Daphnia pulex: one gene and its partners. The protein of the gene in region 2 purifies or fractionates together with the protein of the main gene of each other region. This does not show direct contact. Links are inferred from orthologs where the notes say so. Each region holds a gene or a part of one and is shown on either strand. Other genes may lie near its edges.

Region 1 (4,098 bases), on a different chromosome or scaffold from region 2:
CGATGCCCGTCCTCGCATGTTCCAGGTGGATCCCACCGAATACTGCTTCAAGTTGGCCCTGGTCAACCGAAAGTACGACGAAGTGTTGCACATGGTTCGACACGCCAAACTTGTCGGCCAATCGATCATCGCTTATTTGCAGCAAAAAGGTTATCCAGAGGTTGCCCTACACTTTGTCAAAGACGAAAAGACTCGACTGGCCCTGGCTCTCCAATGTGGCAACATTGAAGCAGCTCTTGAAGCCGCCAAGGCTCTAGACGACAAGTTCTGTTGGGAGAAACTTGGCGAAGCTGCCCTTCTTCAAGGTCAGGATTCTCGCTATTAGTTTTTTTTTAATGATGTTTAACTTACTTTATATTGGATCTGTAGGCAACCACCAGGTCGTTGAGATGTGCTATCAAAGGACAAAGAATTTCAACAAGTTGGCCTTTTTGTATCTGATTACTGGCAACCTCGACAAGCTAAGAAAGATGATGAAGATTGCTGAAATTCGCAAGGACACTTCGGGTCAATACCAATCGGCCCTTTTGCTAGGGGATATGCAAGAACGTGTCAAGGTGCTTCGTAACTGCGGACAGGTAATACGGGACGGTTCAGTTAACTAAGTTTTGAATGATAGTAATGTTTAAACATGGTCTAGACGAGCTTGGCTTTCCTTACTGCCGCTACCCATGGGCTTAATGAAGAGGCCGAACTACTGCAACAACAACTGGAAGCAGCCGGTCAACCAGTACCTACTGTAAATCCATCTGCTGTGTTCTTGCAGCCGCCTCCTCCAATTGCTCAGGCGGAATCCAACTGGCCATTGTTGACCGTTTCCAAGGTACGCCATTGTTCATTTGATAGATTTTAATGGGAGGGAACTTTAACATTTGAAATGAACTGGAACAGGGATTTTTCGATGGAGCCATGGCAGCTCGTACCATTGCTTCTGGATCTGCTGTTGCTACCGAGGAAGATGCCGGTGAACCTGATGGCTGGGGAGATGATGCTGATCTTGGTCTTGATGATGAAGATAAACCGGTTGGATCGGCTGGCAATGCCGAGAGCGGAGATGAAGAAGGTGGCTGGGAAGTGGGTGATGAAGATTTAGAGTTACCATCCGATTTGAGCGTTGCTGCTCATGGAGGTGAAGACGAAGACCGCGGTTATTACGTGCCACCCACTCGTGGTCAGCCTCCTCTGCAAGGATGGGCCACTCATTCGCAATTGGTTATTGATCACGCTTCAGCTGGCTCCTATGAATCTGCTTTCCGTCTCCTCCATGACCAGATTGGTGTCGTTAATTTTGCACCGTTCAAGTACGTACAATAACTGTTAATTCCTTCGTCATTTGCTTATAACATAGCGTTTCTTTCTACTCCGTTAGGCCATTGTTTACCGCAGCCTTCGCCAAATCACGAACTATGTTTGCTGGATTGCCTAATCTACCTTCCCTGGCCGCATACCCACAGCGTAACTGGAGGGAAGTTGCTGCCTCCTCTAAAGTTCACGGATTACCTGCACTTGGTGTTCGCTTGGCTGATTTAGCTCAAAGGCTTCAGGTAGGCCATCATTTTATTTTATTTTTTTTTTTTCAATTTGGGAAAGTAGTTAAATTATATTTAATTCGGTTGACAGATCTGCTATCAACTGACGACTGCTGGCAAATTCAACGAAGCTGTTGATCGTTTCCGCCTGCTTTTGTTAAATGTTCCACTCTTGGTGGTCGACAACAAAGAAGAAGTTCGCAAGGCCCAAGAATTAATTGCCATCTGTCGGGAGTATATTGTTGGCCTTAGCATGGAAGCTGCTCGTAAAGATTTGCCCAAGGAGAGTTTAGAGGATCAGAAGCGTAGCTGTGAAATGGCAGCCTACTTCACCCACTCAGAGCTGCAACCCATCCATCAGATCTTAACTTTGAGAACGGCGCTGAATCTTAGTTTCAAACTCAAAAACTTCCGCACTGCGGCCTCCTTTGCCCGGCGCCTCCTGGAACTTGGACCTAAACCCGAAGTGGCGCAACAAACTCGCAAAATCCTTCAGGTACTTCATCTGGAAGTTTATTGTGGTAACTCATGCTCAATTTTTTTTTATTTTGTGTCCACAGGCATGCGATAAAGGTGCAAATGATGAAGTCCAGCTCCACTACGATGAGCACAACCCGTTCAACTTGTGCGCTAAAACTTACACGCCCATCTATCGCGGAAAACCAGAAGAAAAGTGCCCTCTTTGTAGTTCAATTTACCAACCTTCATTGAAGGGATCCTTGTGTCAAGTTTGTACCGTTGCTGAAATTGGAAAGGATTGCATCGGATTGCGGATTAGTACCGCCCAATTTCGATAAACGAAACGTTCGTGTCCCTTGATAATTCCAGTATCGTTTATTTTATCAACTGGCCGAACCCCAGTCTTTTGATCAACAGTTTGTTATTTTTCTTTCGCTATTTGCTATGTTGGTTTGTTAATTTTGGGGTACTAGATACATTGAAGTTATACAACAAACACCTTTGGAGAACCAGTTCTAATTCAAGTATAAACTATAAAGCTATCTTCTAAACATATCCGTGTTGCTTGATTTATTTTCTGGAATTCTCGATACAAACTGATCATAATATAAAACTGTTTAATTGAGACATTACAGCTTTAAAATCAACATTATCGGGGTTTACGTTGGTAAACAAATCATAAGTTGAACAAATCACCTTTGGGTCCAAGATCTGATCTTCCAGAGGTCTACAGGTTATTTTATACACAAATATTAGACCTGATATCACAATTGAGATTCCTATGGGACAGAGCAAATGCCATGGCTTAAGCTTCTTTTCTTGATCCCCTAATTCAGGTTCTGGCTGAGTTAGATGATTCCATTTGTCAAGCAGACTAGTGATAGTGTTGTTCTCCTGTCAAGGATCAAAGAAATAATACTTGTAGGAGGTCAAAGTACAGTAACTGTTGTCTACCTGTACTCCAACATCCTGTCCTAAGCTCCCCATCCACCTCATGTTTGCATTTTTCAATATTTGGGCAGACATGTTGAGAACATTGAGGATTTCATTTTTCAGACGATAGAGCTTGGTCTGATTTTGAGTGATGTAAGCTATGCAAGAAGGACGCACACCTCCTCTTGCCTGAGAATCCTTCAAAGTAAAGTAATGAAGGATGGCATGGAAATTCTGAATGATGTTGGTCCGAATGCAAGGCACATCAGATATTTCATCCAACTTTTCCCTGTGGGATTAAAATAGTATGAAATAACCCAAAGAATTTTTGAATAATTTAAAATAAATACCCTGGAAAATTCTGATAATCTGTTGTCATTATGTAAAGAAGAAATTCATCCAGATTGAAATTCTCATTGTTATTCAGATGAGGTAGAACAGCTGGGATAGTCAAAACACAACGAGGCCCTTCGACTTCACAGAATTCGCTTATTAGAATAAAGTCTCTAATCGTTTGGCTACTAGCCATGTTATTATTGATTATTACAAAGACTTTTCATTAGGCTGTACAAGCAATTTAACGTGCAAATATTTATTTAAGTTACCCATACGAAGTAAGTACAATGACAATCACATTAAACCAACATTGTGTTGATTTTGAAAGACGAGTGAACTTTTGTCTTGGTGACAGTCCAGCAGGGACGTCTGCTAGGTGGTTCGTGGTGGTGACAAAATTTGTTGCTAGATGGCAGTAAAGAAGGAAGATCGGACCAGACGAAAAGTTTGATACGAAAAATTTTGTTTAACAAAACTTGTTTTTGGATTTGTAGTTGTGTAAATATAATTTGTAATCATGGATTCGTCAGAAACATTTTCTGGCGACTTAAAAACAATACCAGAAGACTTGGAAATAGATATAAGTGAAGTCGAAGAATTGCGGGTTTGTAACATTCCATTATTAAGTACTGATTTTATTTACACTAAGATTGGCTGCGTATCGTGCAGGAAATCGGACGAGGAACTTTTGGGGTGGTATACAGAGGTGTTTGGCGATCCAAAGTTGTGGCAGTTAAAAAAATTAACACATCAGCTGAACAAAAAACCTTCATGATTGAGATAAGGCAACTGTCAAGAGTATCACATCCTAATATAGTAAAGCTGTATGGAGCTTCCACAA
Region 2 (5,490 bases):
GGGTGGTGTATGGAGTTTGGATGGGAAACAAAACGTCACCCAGTCATTGGAAGTGGAGCTAGTTGTATGTTTACTCTAACTTCATTAAAAATTAACATGCATCATTATAACTTATCACATAATTAATTTAGGATATCGAAGATGTTCCACCAGCTGCATCATACACTGCTGTTGTAAGTTCTAGTGTTGGCAATTCTCGCTTGGCCCTGGCGGAATGGTTGGGCGTATCCTTGGCCGGAAAAATCGTCTCATTGGGAGGAGGAGTTATACTTGACGAAGCGAAAAAAGAGACTGAAAATCGCAATTTGGTAGCTGCTAATGTACGCCCATCCAAATAGATGCGCGGATTTTTATCTTCTCTTAGTCAAACGTACATAGTAAAAGGAAGTAAAATTGTGGGTAAAGCTTTGAATACAGATGTGGTTTGTTAATTTTCAATGCTGTTTCTTTCCTTCTTCTTCTTTAAGCTAGGCTAATATTTCATAGATAAAAAAGCAAGCAAGATAACAAGGTATGAGAAATCCAGAAGACTTGGAAATAATACAGCTTTTAATTGATATACTGTATGCCATGCAACCCCAGCAGTGTACACTGTTCCAACGACAACACATGATAAGAGTTTTCTGAACTCTTAACTGATCGAAAACATAAACAAACGGAGAAAGAAAAAGAGATGAAAGAAAAGAGAAAAGAAAACACGCCCAAACATGAGTGCCGCTGCTGATTCAAAGATATATGCACGTAGAAAAAAAGGAAGAAAAAACTTTTAGATTTCAATATATCATATTTACTGGGCGGCTCAACAAACTTCAGCGCTTTAAATTGCTTTGTTATGAAAGGTGGGAGAAAAAAGGGTGAATTTGAGGAGGTTGAATCGATTCAGAGACGGGAAAAACGAACTGCACGTTGGCATTAAATATTAACCACAGATGGTAACCTAAAGTCTTTCTCATTCCTCACCCCTCTCCTCCAGTTGACAGTCAAGGAGTTCATCAGTTTGTTTGTGTTGACGCTAACGACAGGGGGTGAGGGGCAACTGGCAAAATCACGAACACTTTGCTACTTCCACGGATTTCAGAAGCAAAACATTCAAAGGATTTCGTACTTCTCCGTAAAAAAATTGGAATCGGCCGCATACTTCACCGATGTGCCGTCATCTACTAGTACGACATCATTTACCTACAACGAAAATGGGAAAATTGTAGACAAATGGAATAAATAAACACAGATTGCAACCGTACCGATATTTCAGCATAGGAGCGCTTCGAATAGAAGTTGACATTGATTGGGAAGAAGTCATTCGCATGGCCCTGACATGAAAACTCCATAGCTCCACTTTTATTGGAAGAGTCCACAACGGGGAGTTGCCACGAAAGCTGATTTTTCCTTGGTTCATACTGATACTCTCCTTCACACTCGGAAACATTCGGTGCTCCGCAACCATGACTACACGAATAAACGAAAGATGATGAGTTGCACCTAGAGCCTAATAGAAAAAAGTCTTACGGCAACGGAATGACAATGACAACGTCGTTCAGCTCTAATCGATCATCTTGAAGTTCGAATTCAATATTAACGTCACAGCCTCCACGTCCGTTTTCAGCTGGCCAGCAATTAACTATAATTTTTTTTAAATCATTAAATTTTGCCAGACAACGTAATTAAGATGATGAATTACTGTTCAGTGGAATCATATTTTCGTCTTGTGTTTGGAAACGCCACTTAAGTACACCAACATCCGTATTCAATGGGAACGGTTTTGTGGCATTCTTCAATGCAATGTGCTGCTTAGTGCGAAATAGTTCCTTGTCAACGTTAGGATGAGTTTGAATTTGAATTCCGCGACTATCTCTGTTCTCCACCTATGGATAAATCAGTCGAATTTTGAAAAAAGAAAATAAACACAATGCAAAGGAAATCATTTTACCTGTACGCGGACTCGACCGTAAGTCTCATCAGTAATAAAAAGTGTTAGTAAGCCATGAATTTCCATGTTGTGTAATCCACCGTCACGTCCACAACTGAGGCTAAGCTTTTCTTCTATTCGAAGTTGGACTCTGGATAAAAGAAATTACAGTCAAGCGTTAAATTTTAATAAGCATTGAGGTATTGTAAATTACGGTTCGGTAGCGATGGTTGATGGCGGCAGTTTGTTTGAGCTCACAGAACCACCTTGGACTACGGAAGCGGGGGACTGGAACGAGTTTACATTCTCGCCTTCTGATTTTAGTTGGTCAACAAATATTTCGGCGTCCTTCAGACGGCCCCCAAGCTTGAGGGCTTTGCTCGGGCCATTAGGTTTTCTAAGAAAAGTACCACGCTGTCAGTTAAGAACTAGTTGAGCGGAAAAATAATTAGCGAATTCACTTACACAACAGCTGGTTGATAAGTTGGCTTAGGAGGCTCAGTCGGAATCGAAGCAGCCATGGGAGATGGCCCGTAACCTCCAGAAGATGAAATGGGAGACTTGATGCCCCTTTTATTAGATTCAACTCGCTGTCTCTGCAATTCTTTGGCTTTCTCTCGCATTTTCATCTTGGCATCTCGTTCTTGTGTCTTTATGGGGAAAAAAATAGTGAAATAAGACCAAACAACTACTTAAATGAGAAAATCCAAACCTGTCTAACAGCCTGGTAGACTTTCTCTTCGTGTGAATCCATTTCGACAAATGTTCGAATTTGAGCCAAATTAACGTTTTCGCGATAGCCAAGAGCAACGATTTCGTCAAAGGCAAATATCAAATTGAAGGCATTTTCCCGGATTTCGGATTCTTCAAAAGTGCGGCAATATTCAGGTACCTACATGAATTTAATGTTAGCAAACCTACTAATGAGAAGATCTTATAAATTATTACCACACGAGCGAAAAGACGTAAAGTTTCTAAATCCTCCAAGATATTGGATGCCCTCGTTGTGATAAGTAATACATACACTTTGTCTAAAGGTTGATAAACATATCTAACCGATTCTGTTTCAACAAAAGTGTGTTGTTGTTGAGCAGCTTTTCCTGAAGACATTAGTTTAGGAAAGGCAGCTAAGAGACCTTCTATTCTGGATTTGGTCATCTCCACAAACTGTCTTGACACCAAGGCTGTAATTGAGAAAAAAAAAGTCATTTCTATTATTTTATGCATCATTTTTGTAAAACTTTGCAACACACCTTTTCCACCCTTGGTGCAAACAGCAGCTGCAATGAGAACCTGAATAATAATGAAAATTAATGAACAAGTGTCACAAGTGGAACAAAATCACAGAAATGACAACAAACATATTTTTTGTTGCGAAATAACATTGGCAACTTGGTATTGCTTCAACGATATTAAAAGCCCATGTTTTCTAGGCTACTGTTGCTAAAGATACAGCACACAATCTTTCAGAAATCAAAATGTATTGCTAGCTTTCCGAAGTAGTCTGGTATACTAGAATGCATGTCCTAACAATCAAAGTTAATCATAGTTATATGATTGAAATGTTTTAAGTTATTTTGATGATGTAAAGCACTATTGAAGAAATCATAATAAAATATCCACGTAGACGAAAGTTTAGCCAAATGTCAGATGGGCCGGTTGTGCAACCCCAATGACAACTTCAACAACGCCCATAGTAAATATTTTCATAAAATTAAAAACACTTAGGTTCGTTGATCATACCATTATTGCGCAGATTAAAGGCTCCTAAAGACTTTATCGGACCCCTTTTACCACAACTTTTCAGGGAGGATTCAAGATCCTAAGAACTGACGGCACAAGATGACGTGGATCGTCAACTGTTTTTCCAGGGTTGCCATTTTCAAATTGAAAAATAAATAAAACTGAAGCAAGGGCCCGTTTCTGGCAATGGCTGATTGATGTCTGGCGGTAAATATTTTGGTATTCGAATGCATCATAATTTTCTGCGTGTTTCACTGAGTTATTGCTTTCAAAGTAAAACAAAGGAAACAACATTATGATGGGTAAAATGTTCGATTGAGTTCGGCAAGATCGCATATTCGCATGTGACATCAGAAATTCGGCAAAACGACTCAAAACAACTAGTCAAGGCAAGTCTCGAAAATGATCTCATAACTACTCCTTTTTACTCAACTCCAGTCCACACAAAAAGGATTTTTTTTAATGTATTTTCTGTTTAATGCTACTCGAAAAATAATCCGAATAAAATGTTCAAGTTAACGAAAACGAATTTAGTTGGTTAACGAATTTAGTTGGTTAACGAATTTGCGTCTATCTGTCGAATTTGTAGCATGCAACCACTTTCTCCGTATAAGTCTGAGGCTGTCATTGTTTACTTTATGATTACCTGATTGCTGAACCCATGACGAAAACTACGGTGAACTATTGTGAAAGGATCTTAACATGATAATGGGAAAATAGTGAGAGGATTTATTCGCTGTATGTGCAGGCCAACCCATTTCAACCATTATTCTATATTTGGCGATTTTGGTAAAATGCCCACAAGAGCTAAATAACAGAAACAGAAAGTGCTTTTGCAACGAAAATGAGTCTCCGAAATCGACTAGAACTTTTTTGTTGTATCGTGTCACGTTTTTTTTCAATAAATTTTGTTTCTTATAGCTTAGAAGCGACATGAAATAAATAAAATGATTCAGATTTTCTTGTTTAAATTTCTGAAAGATTGGGCATTAATTAATAATTATAAGGTACCTGTTTTACATTAAATACAATTAGAGGATATAAAAACTACTGATTGTATTGAAAATTCTTATCTGGTTAACAGAAATGAATTAGATTTATTTGTATTCATTTATTCAACCCATCGAGTGTCCGACAGGCGACAGTTAAGATTTGCGATCACGCAATCGAGTGTCATTATGATCACCAGATCACGTCACATTCGTCCTAACGGAGTGTGGTAGAGACTTCTCCTCCCCCTGGAGGAGGAGGAGCTACGCAACTCAGATTTTTTTTTCTCTAGACACTTCTACATCTCGGAGAAAGAAAAAGTATTTTATTATCCCCTCCAAATCACGATATAGGAGCAGTAGAACGAGTTCATTTTGATCCATTCCGATACCAGAAGAATGCATTTAAAATAAATGGAAACGAATACTATTGTAAAAATCAAAATGAATTAATGCAATGCAGATTCCTTGTAATTAACGATTCAAAGCGCAACATCTCGCGACTACAGTTAACATGTATTTGAATTTCCGAATTATAAATAGCTTAACTTAATTAATTTTGAATGAAATCAAAGCCCCACAGAGTTGCCATAAGAGACCGCAGTGTTTTTCAAAATTGCTGGTCGCCCATGATTGGCCCAACGGAAAAGAGGAATGGAGAGGAAAAGACCTGGGGAAATCGGTGGATGGGATATCGGCTCGAAAAGGATCGACCTCTCTGCTTTTTTTCTGAACAGTTGATTCTGAGACTTTGAAGGTGGTGGTGCAACGACTCGTTAAATCTTTCTCGCACGCGCCGGCCATACACACGTGACTGAGCTCTGATCATTTATCCGGTCAACTTGAATCATG
Region 3 (5,431 bases), on a different chromosome or scaffold from region 2:
CTACTTCATTAGAATATATTTCTGATGACTCACTAGATTGTTCTTTAAAGTACTGTAACACTGTAGAATCTGAGCTCTTTGAAGACTCGGAAATTAATTTGTTGACTGAATTAGGTGAGTTCTTTGTTAACAAATATTGAGCATCAATTTTTTGCTTTGCTGGAATAGCTTTCACAACTAATGTAGGCACAGTTTTCTTCACTGATATTACTGAAGGCTCATCAGATTTTAAGTTTTCTTGTTCTGTGAATAATAATATGGCACAATATTAAATTTTGTTTTGTACTCTTAAAATGTTATCTTACCTTGGTTTTCATTCAATGAAGTAGCCACTTCATTAGAATATGTTTCTGATGACTCACTAGACTGTTCTTCAAAGTGCTGTATCACTTTTTTAACCGAGCCTTTCGAAGCCCCAGCAGACTCTTTATTCTCTTCAGCTGCTAGTTCCAGCACAGTATTAATCCTTGTCGAACTATTATCCAAATAAGATCGAAAATCCACGTCTTTTTTGTCTTCTTGGTACTAGAGTAGTATGTATAAATCGCAAGAGTTAGAATCAGGTCTGCATAGCTCTTTGAAGAGAATTTGACATTAAAATACCTTAGTGAAGAAGGAACTCCAAAAATTATCTCTTTCTTGTAAAATTCCTTCCCAGCATTTTTTCAATCTGTCCATCGTGTTGGATTGTCATTTCATAGTTTCGAAATTATTGATCCATTATTTCAACAAGTAGGCCACTCTCTTAACACCAACAAGAACATAGCATCCGACGCTTTCGAGTTTTGAATTCACCTTTGCAACTTAATTTCGTCTGCTATAACTTTTGCAACAGTGTTTATCTGACAATTAGGTGATGATTGAAAATTTGAAACATATTATTCCAGAATATATGGATGAAGGAAAAATGTGGTGTATTATTCACAATTGTATCATCAAAATTAAAAATAAGAATCAAAAGACCCCAAGTAATTCCCTGAGGATTGCTTGTTTCAGGCAATCAAGAAAAATGAATTGCAAAAATTTTCAGCAGTTAATTCATTATCTTGATCCAATCTTTAAAACTGGATTTTTTTTGTATGACATGTAATCATCATATTTGAAGAATGAAATTTCAGTTTCATGTCTTACATCACTCTCCTTGAGTGTCCTTTCCGCTTTAAGGATGAGACCTTCATCATTCTCGTGGTTAATGACAGGATCATTTGTTTTAGCTCCATGTGCATGGTGCTCAATCTGTAGAAAACCATAGAAAAAACAACAAATACATAAAAATAGCAGTAAGATGTTATTCAAATAACCTTCAAAGTGTCATATTCGTATTTTCGAAAAGGTGGTGGCAGTCCCGGAGCAACACCCAACTCTTGAATTATTCTAGTTTTCAACTCTTCAGTTGTAAGGGAAAGTGGTACATTCTTTAAAACCACATTGCGAATGTTTCGATATTCAAACGACCGGATGACTCGAATAATGATCGTGGCTGTCTCCATTGATAAATTGTGCGGGGCAGTTTGTTTTGAACTGATGTGATGTTGCCACTGTCGAAATAGTTTAACAAATTTTGAATTATTACAGGGTACGCTTAAAATGTATAGAATAAATAGCTCATAATAGTTTTGAAAATTACACTCCCGACGAGGTCACACAATATTAGTAAAAGCTGATAGAAAAGAAGCAATTTAGTATTTTGGCTAATGATTCTATCTGGCAATGTTTATTTGTGCTCCACTCCTCCCCCAGTGATGACAGATCAACCGGCCACGTAGTAGAACTATTCAACAATCCTCACAACAAAATGGTTTAACATTAATACTACTTGTTTAAATCATAACAATTATTGAGCTAATTTCATGTTATAATTTTTTATAGCCGCTGAAACTAGATATCAAGAGAAGGCTTACCGCCCGTTCGGATCGCGTGAAAAGTGTCGACTTGCATCCAACAGAGCCATGGATGTTGGCCTCCTTGTATAATGGAAATGTGCATATTTGGAACCATGAATCACAACAAATCATCAAATCTTTTGAGGTAAAATGAGTACTTCATTGAATTCTTCCTTAATGACTTGACCATTACTTGCCCTTTTGTAGGTTTGTGACCTGCCTGTTCGTGCTGTCAAGTTTGTCCCAAGGAAAAACTGGGTTGTTAGTGGTTCTGATGATATGCAGGTATAGTTTTCTTGATGTCTTATCCATTTCAGATTAGATATAGTTTAATCCTCTTTAAATTGTTCCAGGTCAGAGTGTTCAACTACAACACACTTGATCGTGTGACAGCATTTGAAGCTCATTCAGACTATGTTCGTTGCATTGCTGTGCACCCCACTCAACCCTTTCTATTAACTAGCAGTGGTATGTAAATAATCTGTTTTTCTAACAGATTCAGTGTTCATACAGTCTTTCTTCATTTTAGATGATATGTCAATTAAGTTGTGGAATTGGGAAAAGAACTGGGCATGCCAACAAGTCTTTGAGGGTCACACCCATTATGTTATGCAGATTGTCATCAATCCAAAAGATAACAATACATTTGCTACTGCATCTCTTGATAGAACAGTCAAGGTATGTTTTTACGAAAATATTTTGCCAGAAATTTAACTTAAAATCAATTTATTACGGTCCCTCATTCAGGTCTGGCAGTTGGGCTCGAACACACCGAATTTCACTCTTGAAGGCCACGAGAAAGGAGTAAATTGCGTCGACTATTACCACGCCGGCGACAAACCTTACTTAATTTCAGGTGCAGATGATCGGCTTGTTAAAATTTGGGATTACCAGAATAAAACCTGCGTCCAAACTTTGGAAGGGCATGCACAGAATATTTCTTCTGTTGCCTTCCACCCCGAACTTCCAATTCTGCTTACTGGATCTGAAGATGGAACAGTCAGGTAAATTTATTATTCTCTTTATTTATTTTTTAGTCAAGTATACTATTTTCTCTAAATCGTAGAGTATGGCATTCAAATACCTACCGGTTGGAGACTACTCTCAATTATGGGCTGGAGCGTGTCTGGACCATTTGTTGTTTGCCTGGGTCTAATAACATCGCTTTGGGCTACGATGAAGGATCTATCATGATTAAATTGGGCCGAGAGGAACCTGCAATGTCCATGGATCAAAGCGGTAAAATTATCTGGGCCAAACATTCAGAGATCCAGCAGGCCAATCTCAAAGCGCTGCCGGACTCGGAGATCAAGGATGGAGAACGTCTTCCTCTTGCCATCAAGGATATGGGTGCATGCGAGATTTACCCTCAAACTGTCGCTCACAATCCAAACGGAAGGTATGTTTGCTAACTGCTCATGGCATAGAAACCAGTAAATAATAAAATTCCGTTTCATAATAGATTCGTCGTTGTTTGTGGTGACGGCGAGTACATCATCTATACAGCTATGGCTCTGCGAAACAAAGCTTTCGGTTCAGCTTTGGAGTTTGTGTGGGCAGTGGACTCATCCGAGTATGCTGTTCGTGAAAGTGCCACGTCGGTCAAAGTTTTTAAGAACTTCAAGGAAAAGAAACAATTCAAACCAGAGCTGGGAGCCGAAGGTATATTGTGCATAGTAATTGAAAACAGAATGAAATATTGATTCTAATTAAAATTTTACATTCACAGGAATCTTTGGTGGAGCAATGCTTGGGGTCCGGTCTACCAACAGCTTAGCTTTTTACGAATGGGACAATCTGACACTGATTCGTCGGATTGAGATCCAGCCACGTGGTGTGTATTGGTCGGAAAATGGTGAATTAGTTTGCATTTCTACCGAAGACAGCTATTTTGTTTTGCGTTATGATGCTGATGCCGTGGCCAAAAGCCTTGAAACCAAAGAAGGCTTGACCGACGATGCCGGAATTGAGGTGATTTTATTTAAAGACAAAGTGTTAGTACATTTTTAAAAAATATTTTCTGAATGTTTAGACGGCGTTCGAAATGTTATCTGAAGTGCAAGAAAGTGTTAAGACGGGACTTTGGGTGGGCGATTGCTTTATCTACACCAACAGTGCCAACCGATTAAATTATTACGTCGGTGGGGAAATTGTCACAGTGGCCCATCTCGACAGGTATGGCTTGAAAGTTCACCATTCTTGCAATAATCAAACCGATACTATTAAACCCATGTGTAACTTTTGTTTCCAGAGTGATGTACTTGTTGGGCTACATTCCCAAGGACAACAGTCTTTACTTGGGCGACAAGGAGCTAAATGTAGTTTCCTACGGCCTGCAACTCTCGGTGCTTGAATATCAAACCGCAGTTATGCGACGAGACTTCGAAACAGCTGACCGAGTGCTCCCGTCGGTTCCCAAAGAGCAACGCACTCGAGTGGCTCATTTTCTTGAGAAGCAGGGATTCAAAGAACAGGCATTGGCAGTCTCCGCTGATCCTGAGCATCGCTTCGAACTGTCACTTCAGCTTGGTCAATTGCAACTGGCCTACCAACTAGCCTGCGAGGCTCAGAGTGAGCACAAGTGGAAACAACTTGCTGATCTGGCCACAACCAAATGTCAGTTTGAGTTGGCTCAAGAGTGTCTTCACAAGGCACAGGATTTCGGAGGACTCCTACTTTTGGCTACAGCATCCGGTATGTCATTTTACATTGTTTCGTCCTTTGTTCAGATAGTTAATATGTTGAATGTTCAGGTAATGCCGAAATGGTGCAGCGATTAGGCGATGACGCAATTGGAGCTGGCATGAACAACGTTGCCTTTTTGACGCGCTTCCTGAGTGGCGATTTGAACGCTTGCCTTGAGATCTTGATCAACACCCAACGCATTCCCGAGGCTGCCTTCTTTGCTCGCACTTATCTGCCTAGCCAAATCTCGCGCGTGGTCCAGCTCTGGAAGCTCAGTCTTAGCCAGGTCAATGCAAAAGCTAGCCAAAGCCTGGCTGATCCTGCCCAGTATGACAATCTCTTCCCTGGCTTGATGGATGCTCTCAAGACGGAACAGTTTCTTGAACAGAGACGTCAACAGTTGCCGGCCTCGGCTTACTCTTCGCTGCCCAACAATTGGGAGAGACACCCAGTAGAGGAGATGAGACTAGCCGAACAGAACGATCAATTCCATCATGTTACGCCCGCTAAAGTGTCCTTTGTGGAGGAGGAGAAGGAAGTTGAAGAAACCAATGAGCAAACGAATTTGAATCCTTCCGCCGGTTCGCTCCTCATACCAGAACCTGTGGGAGTCGCCGCCGCCGCCAGCCAACCTAAAAATCTTCTAGATGACGACGAAGAAGATTTCCAGCCTGCAGTTTCTGAACCAGCCCAGGGCACCAGCCAACTTGACCAAGATCTGGAGCTTGACTTGGAAAATTTGGAGCTAGACGATAACGTCGATACGTCGGAAGTGAATTTGGACGACGATCTACTCGACGATTAAAAATATGGAAGTGAACCACCCCAATTATTATTCAAAAAAATTTTTTTTTTACAAATAT
Region 4 (4,571 bases), on a different chromosome or scaffold from region 2:
TGTATTGCTACTCGCCTAGCCACAATCGTCAACAGCACTGAGTCCCCCTCTCTTATTCCTTTGTCTGGGTAGGTCCTTCTCCCCCTCTCTTCTTTCCTGGCTATCCTGCGTTGCCGCACTGTCCAGTTTGTTTATCTTTTATACTCAACACCTCCCCTCAAACTGGACCCCCAAAAATAAACATGAGCACAGAATACACAGCATATTTGAATCAGACATAAATACTAGGTTCAGTGTCACAAGACAAATAATAAGAAAAGAAATATCAGCCTCCTTTAACTCTTCAGTTACACCTCCCCTACACCCCGAACGCCAATCTTGTCACGGAGATACTTGAAGCGTGGAGCAGCCAGGGGTTTCGTGAGTGCATCGGCCAGTTGCTCCTGGGAGCTTACATAGTTTATCATCTCTTCTGTCATGTCGATCGTAACGCTTCCTTTTTCTGTCCGCTTCTTCTCCTTCTCTCTCACGCCGGCGTTTGTATTGACGGCATTGAGCTCTAACATGCGTAGTGGAGTTGCACTCCCAGCATGTTCTCGGTATACCAGCATGTTGACTGGAAGGGTGGCTTTTTCCTTTGTTCTGACCGTACTGGGCAGGAAGTGCTTGCTCTTTGTGCTGTGATTCATCTCTGTTCGGCTTACTGAGATAGGCAGTATCAGATGTCGATTTTGCTTCTTCGTCGTTGCGCAGGCTCTTGTCCAATGCTATAAGGCGAGTAGTCAGTTTCTTGAGAGTTTTCTCTGCAACAGGCGTGCTGTCCCATGCAAAGGCAAAAACACGGAACTCTGGAGGAAGCGACATGAGTATCTTTGCCATTATTTGATTATCATCAATAGCTATGTTGAGGCTCTTCAGACGGAATGCTATCTGTTCCAACTCAGTCAGGAAGCTTGATACACTTTGGCTTGGTCGAAATGTGCATCCATAGAACTTTGTCCACAATAGAGGTGCATTGTCTGCGGCATCTTCTTCATACTCAGTCTCCAATTTCATCCACATCTCTTGGGCTGTGCTACAAGACATCAGGATCCTTGATTGGTCTTCTTTGATGGCGCCAAATATGTTCTGCATTGCCGTGGTATTTCTCTTGTTCCAGTTGGTTATATCAGCTGCATTTTCAATCACCTGGTCAGCATTGCGTCTCTGATTGTGGTAACAAAACGAGAAGATGGTTAGGTTTGTGATATCCATGGCAGCCTCACATTATCTCAATGTGGAATCTCCCTCACATCATCTCGATGTGGAATACCTCTCACATTATCTCAATGTGGAATCTCCCTCACATCATCTCGATGTGGAATACCTCTCACATTATCTCAATGTGGAATCTCCCTCACATCATCTCGATGTGGAAAAACACTCAGCTGTCTCCTAGATGCTTGCAACTCTAGCACACACTTGTCCACCATCATATGATGGAATTTAGCCAGAGTGACCAAACAGATTGAGAAAGAAACACAAAAAAAGAGAAATGTCCAGCAAACACAAACACACAAAAAACAAAATCAAGTGGCAGAGATTAAGCACTCACGCCGGGATCTAAGTTTGTCAATTTAATAGTTGGTACCACGCCACAGATAGGCATCTCATATCGCGTTGTTGTCAGGCACGGATCACACACATAAAGAAAACAATAAATCATCAATAAACTTACTTCAGCAGGTTGCCGTTGAGTCCCGTTCACGACTTCCCAAAGCTCAACACTTTGTAACGCCAGCTTCATTCCAAATTTCCAAGACGCGTAGTTTTTCCCATTCAGACACCATACAACATGGCGGCGGCCATCTTTCTCCATCACTCCAGAAAAGAATTTCTAATTTCTTGGGAACAGTTAGCCGGGGACACACACAAAAAAAATAATTGTTCAGACAGAGTAGCTGTTAGCTGTGCGTACAGCTGGGCCCATAACCTGTTGATATAGAAATTAACACGTGAACCTGTTTGCTGCAAAGAACGCTTTGTATTGCTACTCGCCTAGCCACAATCGTCAACAGCACTGAGTCCCCCTCTCTTATTCCTTTGTCTGGGTAGGTCCTTCTCCCCCTCTCTTCTTTCCTGGCTATCCTGCGTTGCCGCACTGTCCAGTTTGTTTATCTTTTATACTCAACAAGCAGTTCCTAGATGGCGCTAACGACTGGCCCTTTTGCTTTTTCCCGTATCTTTTAAAACAAAAATAGATTTATCTCGTTAATGGTTTGTGATCAGTATAGGAAATTTATAAAATTTATAAGTTAATTTTTTTAATGGTTAATATAATTTTCTTACCGACATAAGAATCGTACTCTAGTTGAAGTACTCCATGGCGATACTACGCGAAAGAAACTGCCAACGTAGCATACAGGACTACCGGTTGTCAAGTAAGAACAACTCATCAACATCTCGAACGGAACATTTTCATTCACCCGTCTGTACAACGGTTCATCTTATTTCTCTTAGCTCTTGTGTTGTGGTGTATTGCATATTGTATAAAGAAATGGATAACCATGTCCTGGTAATATAGCTACTTCTAGTACTACATTTTCTTTAATCAGCTGTGTCAGACCAACAACAAAATGATACATTTTTATAAAATTTCTTTAGGAACCTTCTCTGTATGTAATTAAAGGAATTGCAATCCTTGACAATGATGGTAAACGTATTCTTGCAAAGTACTATGACCCAAACACATTACCCACTGCAAAAGAACAGAAGGTTTTTGAAAAAAACCTATTCAACAAAACACACCGAGCTAACACGGAAATCATTATGCTAGAAAACATGACTTGTGTCTACAAAAGCAATGTGGATCTTTATTTTTATGTCATGGGAAGTAGCCATGAAAATGAGGTAAAAGATGCTCACAAGTTGTTCACAAAATATTAGTAAATTGGAATTTTTTTCCCCTTATTTAGTTGATCTTGGTTAGTGTTTTAAACTGCTTGTATGATTCCATCAGCCAAATACTTAGAAAGAATGTGGAAAAGCGTTCTCTAATGGAAAATCTTGATGTGGTTATGCTTGCTTTGGATGAAATATGTGATTCTGGGTATGGTTTCCATTCAAACATGTAATCATGACAAGTTTATCAAGATACTATTACCAGTTTACTATTGTGTTGCAGGATTATTCTGGAATCAGATCCCACTGCTATATCATACAGAGTAGCTCTTCGGAATGATGACATTCCAATTGGGGAGCAGACAGTGGCCCAGGTATGTTTGATAACTTAACTACTTAATCAGATATTTAAATAAGGTTTTTTTCAATTTAATTAAATTTAAAATTGAAATTAGTTTGAAATTTTCATTTTCCAGCAGCTACTTCTAAACTAAACAATATACATTTTAAAAATTACTATAATTAAGGGAGAAGATCAATAAATTCTTTAATTATTTCCGTCTGATTTTTTAGGTGCTTCAATCGGCAAAGGAGCAGCTAAAATGGTCTCTTCTGAAATAAGGATCTAAACTATTTCAACCACAATAAATTCCGGTCGTTGAATCATCCTTATCATTATTTTTCTCCTTTTCCAAGTTGTTCTATAAAAAAAATACAAATCTGTTCTGTTGATGCCATCTTTATCAAAATAGCAGATAAATAATTAAAATCAATCCACCGTATTAGAAATTAAATTTTTTGTAACTTGTAACACGCATTATATAACCTGATGGTGTGCTTGGTATTTTACAGCGATCTTTAAAAGATTGTTTTCATTCATCAAAGAATAGTTTGCCTTTTTCTGACATTTACTTCGGGTTTACAAACGAATGAAAGCACAAAAGAAATTTGTTTCTATCACAACAGAGATGTGAATTTCCAATATTTTTCAGGTTGCACTGTAATTTAGGTGAAATGTTCTTGGTTTTAATTCGGATAGAACGTTATTCTCTTACAGTACAGCTTAAGTACAGCATTACACCAACTAAAGTTTGCCAGTTCATTTCGAAGTTATTGATAACGTCAATCTTTCGTCGATTAAAAGGTAAAAAAAAAAAAAAAAAAAAAAACGTTTCACTCGTCGTGTCTTTATAACGATATTGAATTCCAGGCTTGGACAGAGCGCATCAGTTTTTCGCTCCGTTGATCTATCAGCGATAAGCGGTGATTTAATCGACCCAATTGAAAAGGATCGGTAACGAATCGTTGTGTTTTTTTTTTTTTGTTTTTTTTTGGTCGAGTTCCAGAATTTTCTACCAACAACTTCGAAGTTCGACAATCCAAAATGATCCTTTAGCCTTGCGTTTCCCTTATCTTCGTTGAGTTTATAACATACAGCGCGATCATATTCAAATAGCCACAAAGAAAGGAAAAGGCGGTAAAATTCGACAAAAATAGAAATCAAATGATAACGCAATAACTTCATATTAAAGTGGATTGCTCTGTGCCTAGTTAATCGATTATTGATAGCAGATTGATCAGTGTTTGGCTAAAGATCGGAATCAGCATCTTTTTTTGAGAACAGCATAGGTAAAAATGAATATCGAGCGGTCGTGTCCCTCTTGGATTGAGCTCCTGATTTTTCTACCAACAACTTTGCCAATCCAAAATGATCCTTTGGCGTTGCGTTTTCCTTATCTTCGTTGAGTTTT

Evidence for each region.
Region 1: the proteins of coatomer subunit delta-like (region 2) and coatomer subunit alpha-like fractionate together in Homo sapiens (co-fractionation; 4 studies listed by BioGRID and IntAct, with this or other methods). This does not show direct contact. The link is inferred for Daphnia pulex from reciprocal best matches to the Homo sapiens genes ARCN1 and COPA.
Region 3: the proteins of coatomer subunit delta-like (region 2) and coatomer subunit beta'-like fractionate together in Homo sapiens (co-fractionation; 5 studies listed by BioGRID and IntAct, with this or other methods). This does not show direct contact. The link is inferred for Daphnia pulex from reciprocal best matches to the Homo sapiens genes ARCN1 and COPB2.
Region 4: the proteins of coatomer subunit delta-like (region 2) and coatomer subunit zeta-1-like fractionate together in Homo sapiens (co-fractionation; 5 studies listed by BioGRID and IntAct, with this or other methods). This does not show direct contact. The link is inferred for Daphnia pulex from reciprocal best matches to the Homo sapiens genes ARCN1 and COPZ1.

The regions. Positions count from the first base shown.
Region 1 is NC_060025.1:3,025,018-3,029,115, forward strand, and holds the end of coatomer subunit alpha-like, read left to right. Parts: coding exon 1-305; intron 306-369; coding exon 370-578; intron 579-640; coding exon 641-823; intron 824-891; coding exon 892-1,301; intron 1,302-1,369; coding exon 1,370-1,544; intron 1,545-1,620; coding exon 1,621-2,025; intron 2,026-2,089; coding exon 2,090-2,326; 3' UTR 2,327-2,588; downstream 2,589-4,098. Other genes in the region: guanine nucleotide exchange protein smcr8a-like, read right to left, coding at 2,589-2,882, 2,943-3,210, 3,272-3,450; mitogen-activated protein kinase kinase kinase 7-like, read left to right, coding at 3,775-3,861, 3,927-4,098. UniProt on the Homo sapiens protein: The coatomer is a cytosolic protein complex that binds to dilysine motifs and reversibly associates with Golgi non-clathrin-coated vesicles, which further mediate biosynthetic protein transport from the ER, via the Golgi up to the trans Golgi network.
Region 2 is NC_060022.1:6,328,456-6,333,945, reverse strand, and holds coatomer subunit delta-like, read right to left. Parts: upstream 3,788-5,490; 5' UTR 3,653-3,787; coding exon 3,650-3,652; intron 3,200-3,649; coding exon 3,160-3,199; intron 3,091-3,159; coding exon 2,855-3,090; intron 2,799-2,854; coding exon 2,619-2,798; intron 2,557-2,618; coding exon 2,372-2,556; intron 2,304-2,371; coding exon 2,121-2,303; intron 2,058-2,120; coding exon 1,928-2,057; intron 1,863-1,927; coding exon 1,679-1,862; intron 1,619-1,678; coding exon 1,507-1,618; intron 1,447-1,506; coding exon 1,242-1,446; intron 1,180-1,241; coding exon 1,090-1,179; 3' UTR 532-1,089; downstream 1-531. Other genes in the region: porphobilinogen deaminase-like, read left to right, coding at 1-64, 132-338; uncharacterized protein LOC124195439, read left to right, coding at 5,488-5,490. UniProt on the Homo sapiens protein: Component of the coatomer, a cytosolic protein complex that binds to dilysine motifs and reversibly associates with Golgi non-clathrin-coated vesicles, which further mediate biosynthetic protein transport from the ER, via the Golgi up to the trans Golgi network.
Region 3 is NC_060017.1:7,292,008-7,297,438, forward strand, and holds the start of coatomer subunit beta'-like, read left to right. Parts: upstream 1-1,630; 5' UTR 1,631-1,795; coding exon 1,796-1,798; intron 1,799-1,869; coding exon 1,870-2,028; intron 2,029-2,090; coding exon 2,091-2,168; intron 2,169-2,236; coding exon 2,237-2,351; intron 2,352-2,412; coding exon 2,413-2,561; intron 2,562-2,630; coding exon 2,631-2,887; intron 2,888-2,949; coding exon 2,950-3,282; intron 3,283-3,345; coding exon 3,346-3,545; intron 3,546-3,612; coding exon 3,613-3,854; intron 3,855-3,915; coding exon 3,916-4,058; intron 4,059-4,134; coding exon 4,135-4,577; intron 4,578-4,636; coding exon 4,637-5,373; 3' UTR 5,374-5,431. Other genes in the region: uncharacterized protein LOC124197376, read right to left, coding at 1-243, 306-525, 604-678. UniProt on the Homo sapiens protein: The coatomer is a cytosolic protein complex that binds to dilysine motifs and reversibly associates with Golgi non-clathrin-coated vesicles, which further mediate biosynthetic protein transport from the ER, via the Golgi up to the trans Golgi network.
Region 4 is NC_060024.1:1,294,229-1,298,799, reverse strand, and holds coatomer subunit zeta-1-like, read left to right. Parts: upstream 1-2,112; 5' UTR 2,113-2,302; coding exon 2,303-2,494; intron 2,495-2,583; coding exon 2,584-2,829; intron 2,830-2,894; coding exon 2,895-3,028; intron 3,029-3,103; coding exon 3,104-3,194; intron 3,195-3,393; coding exon 3,394-3,441; 3' UTR 3,442-3,550; downstream 3,551-4,571. Other genes in the region: fibroblast growth factor receptor 2-like, read right to left, coding at 4,409-4,571. UniProt on the Homo sapiens protein: The coatomer is a cytosolic protein complex that binds to dilysine motifs and reversibly associates with Golgi non-clathrin-coated vesicles, which further mediate biosynthetic protein transport from the ER, via the Golgi up to the trans Golgi network.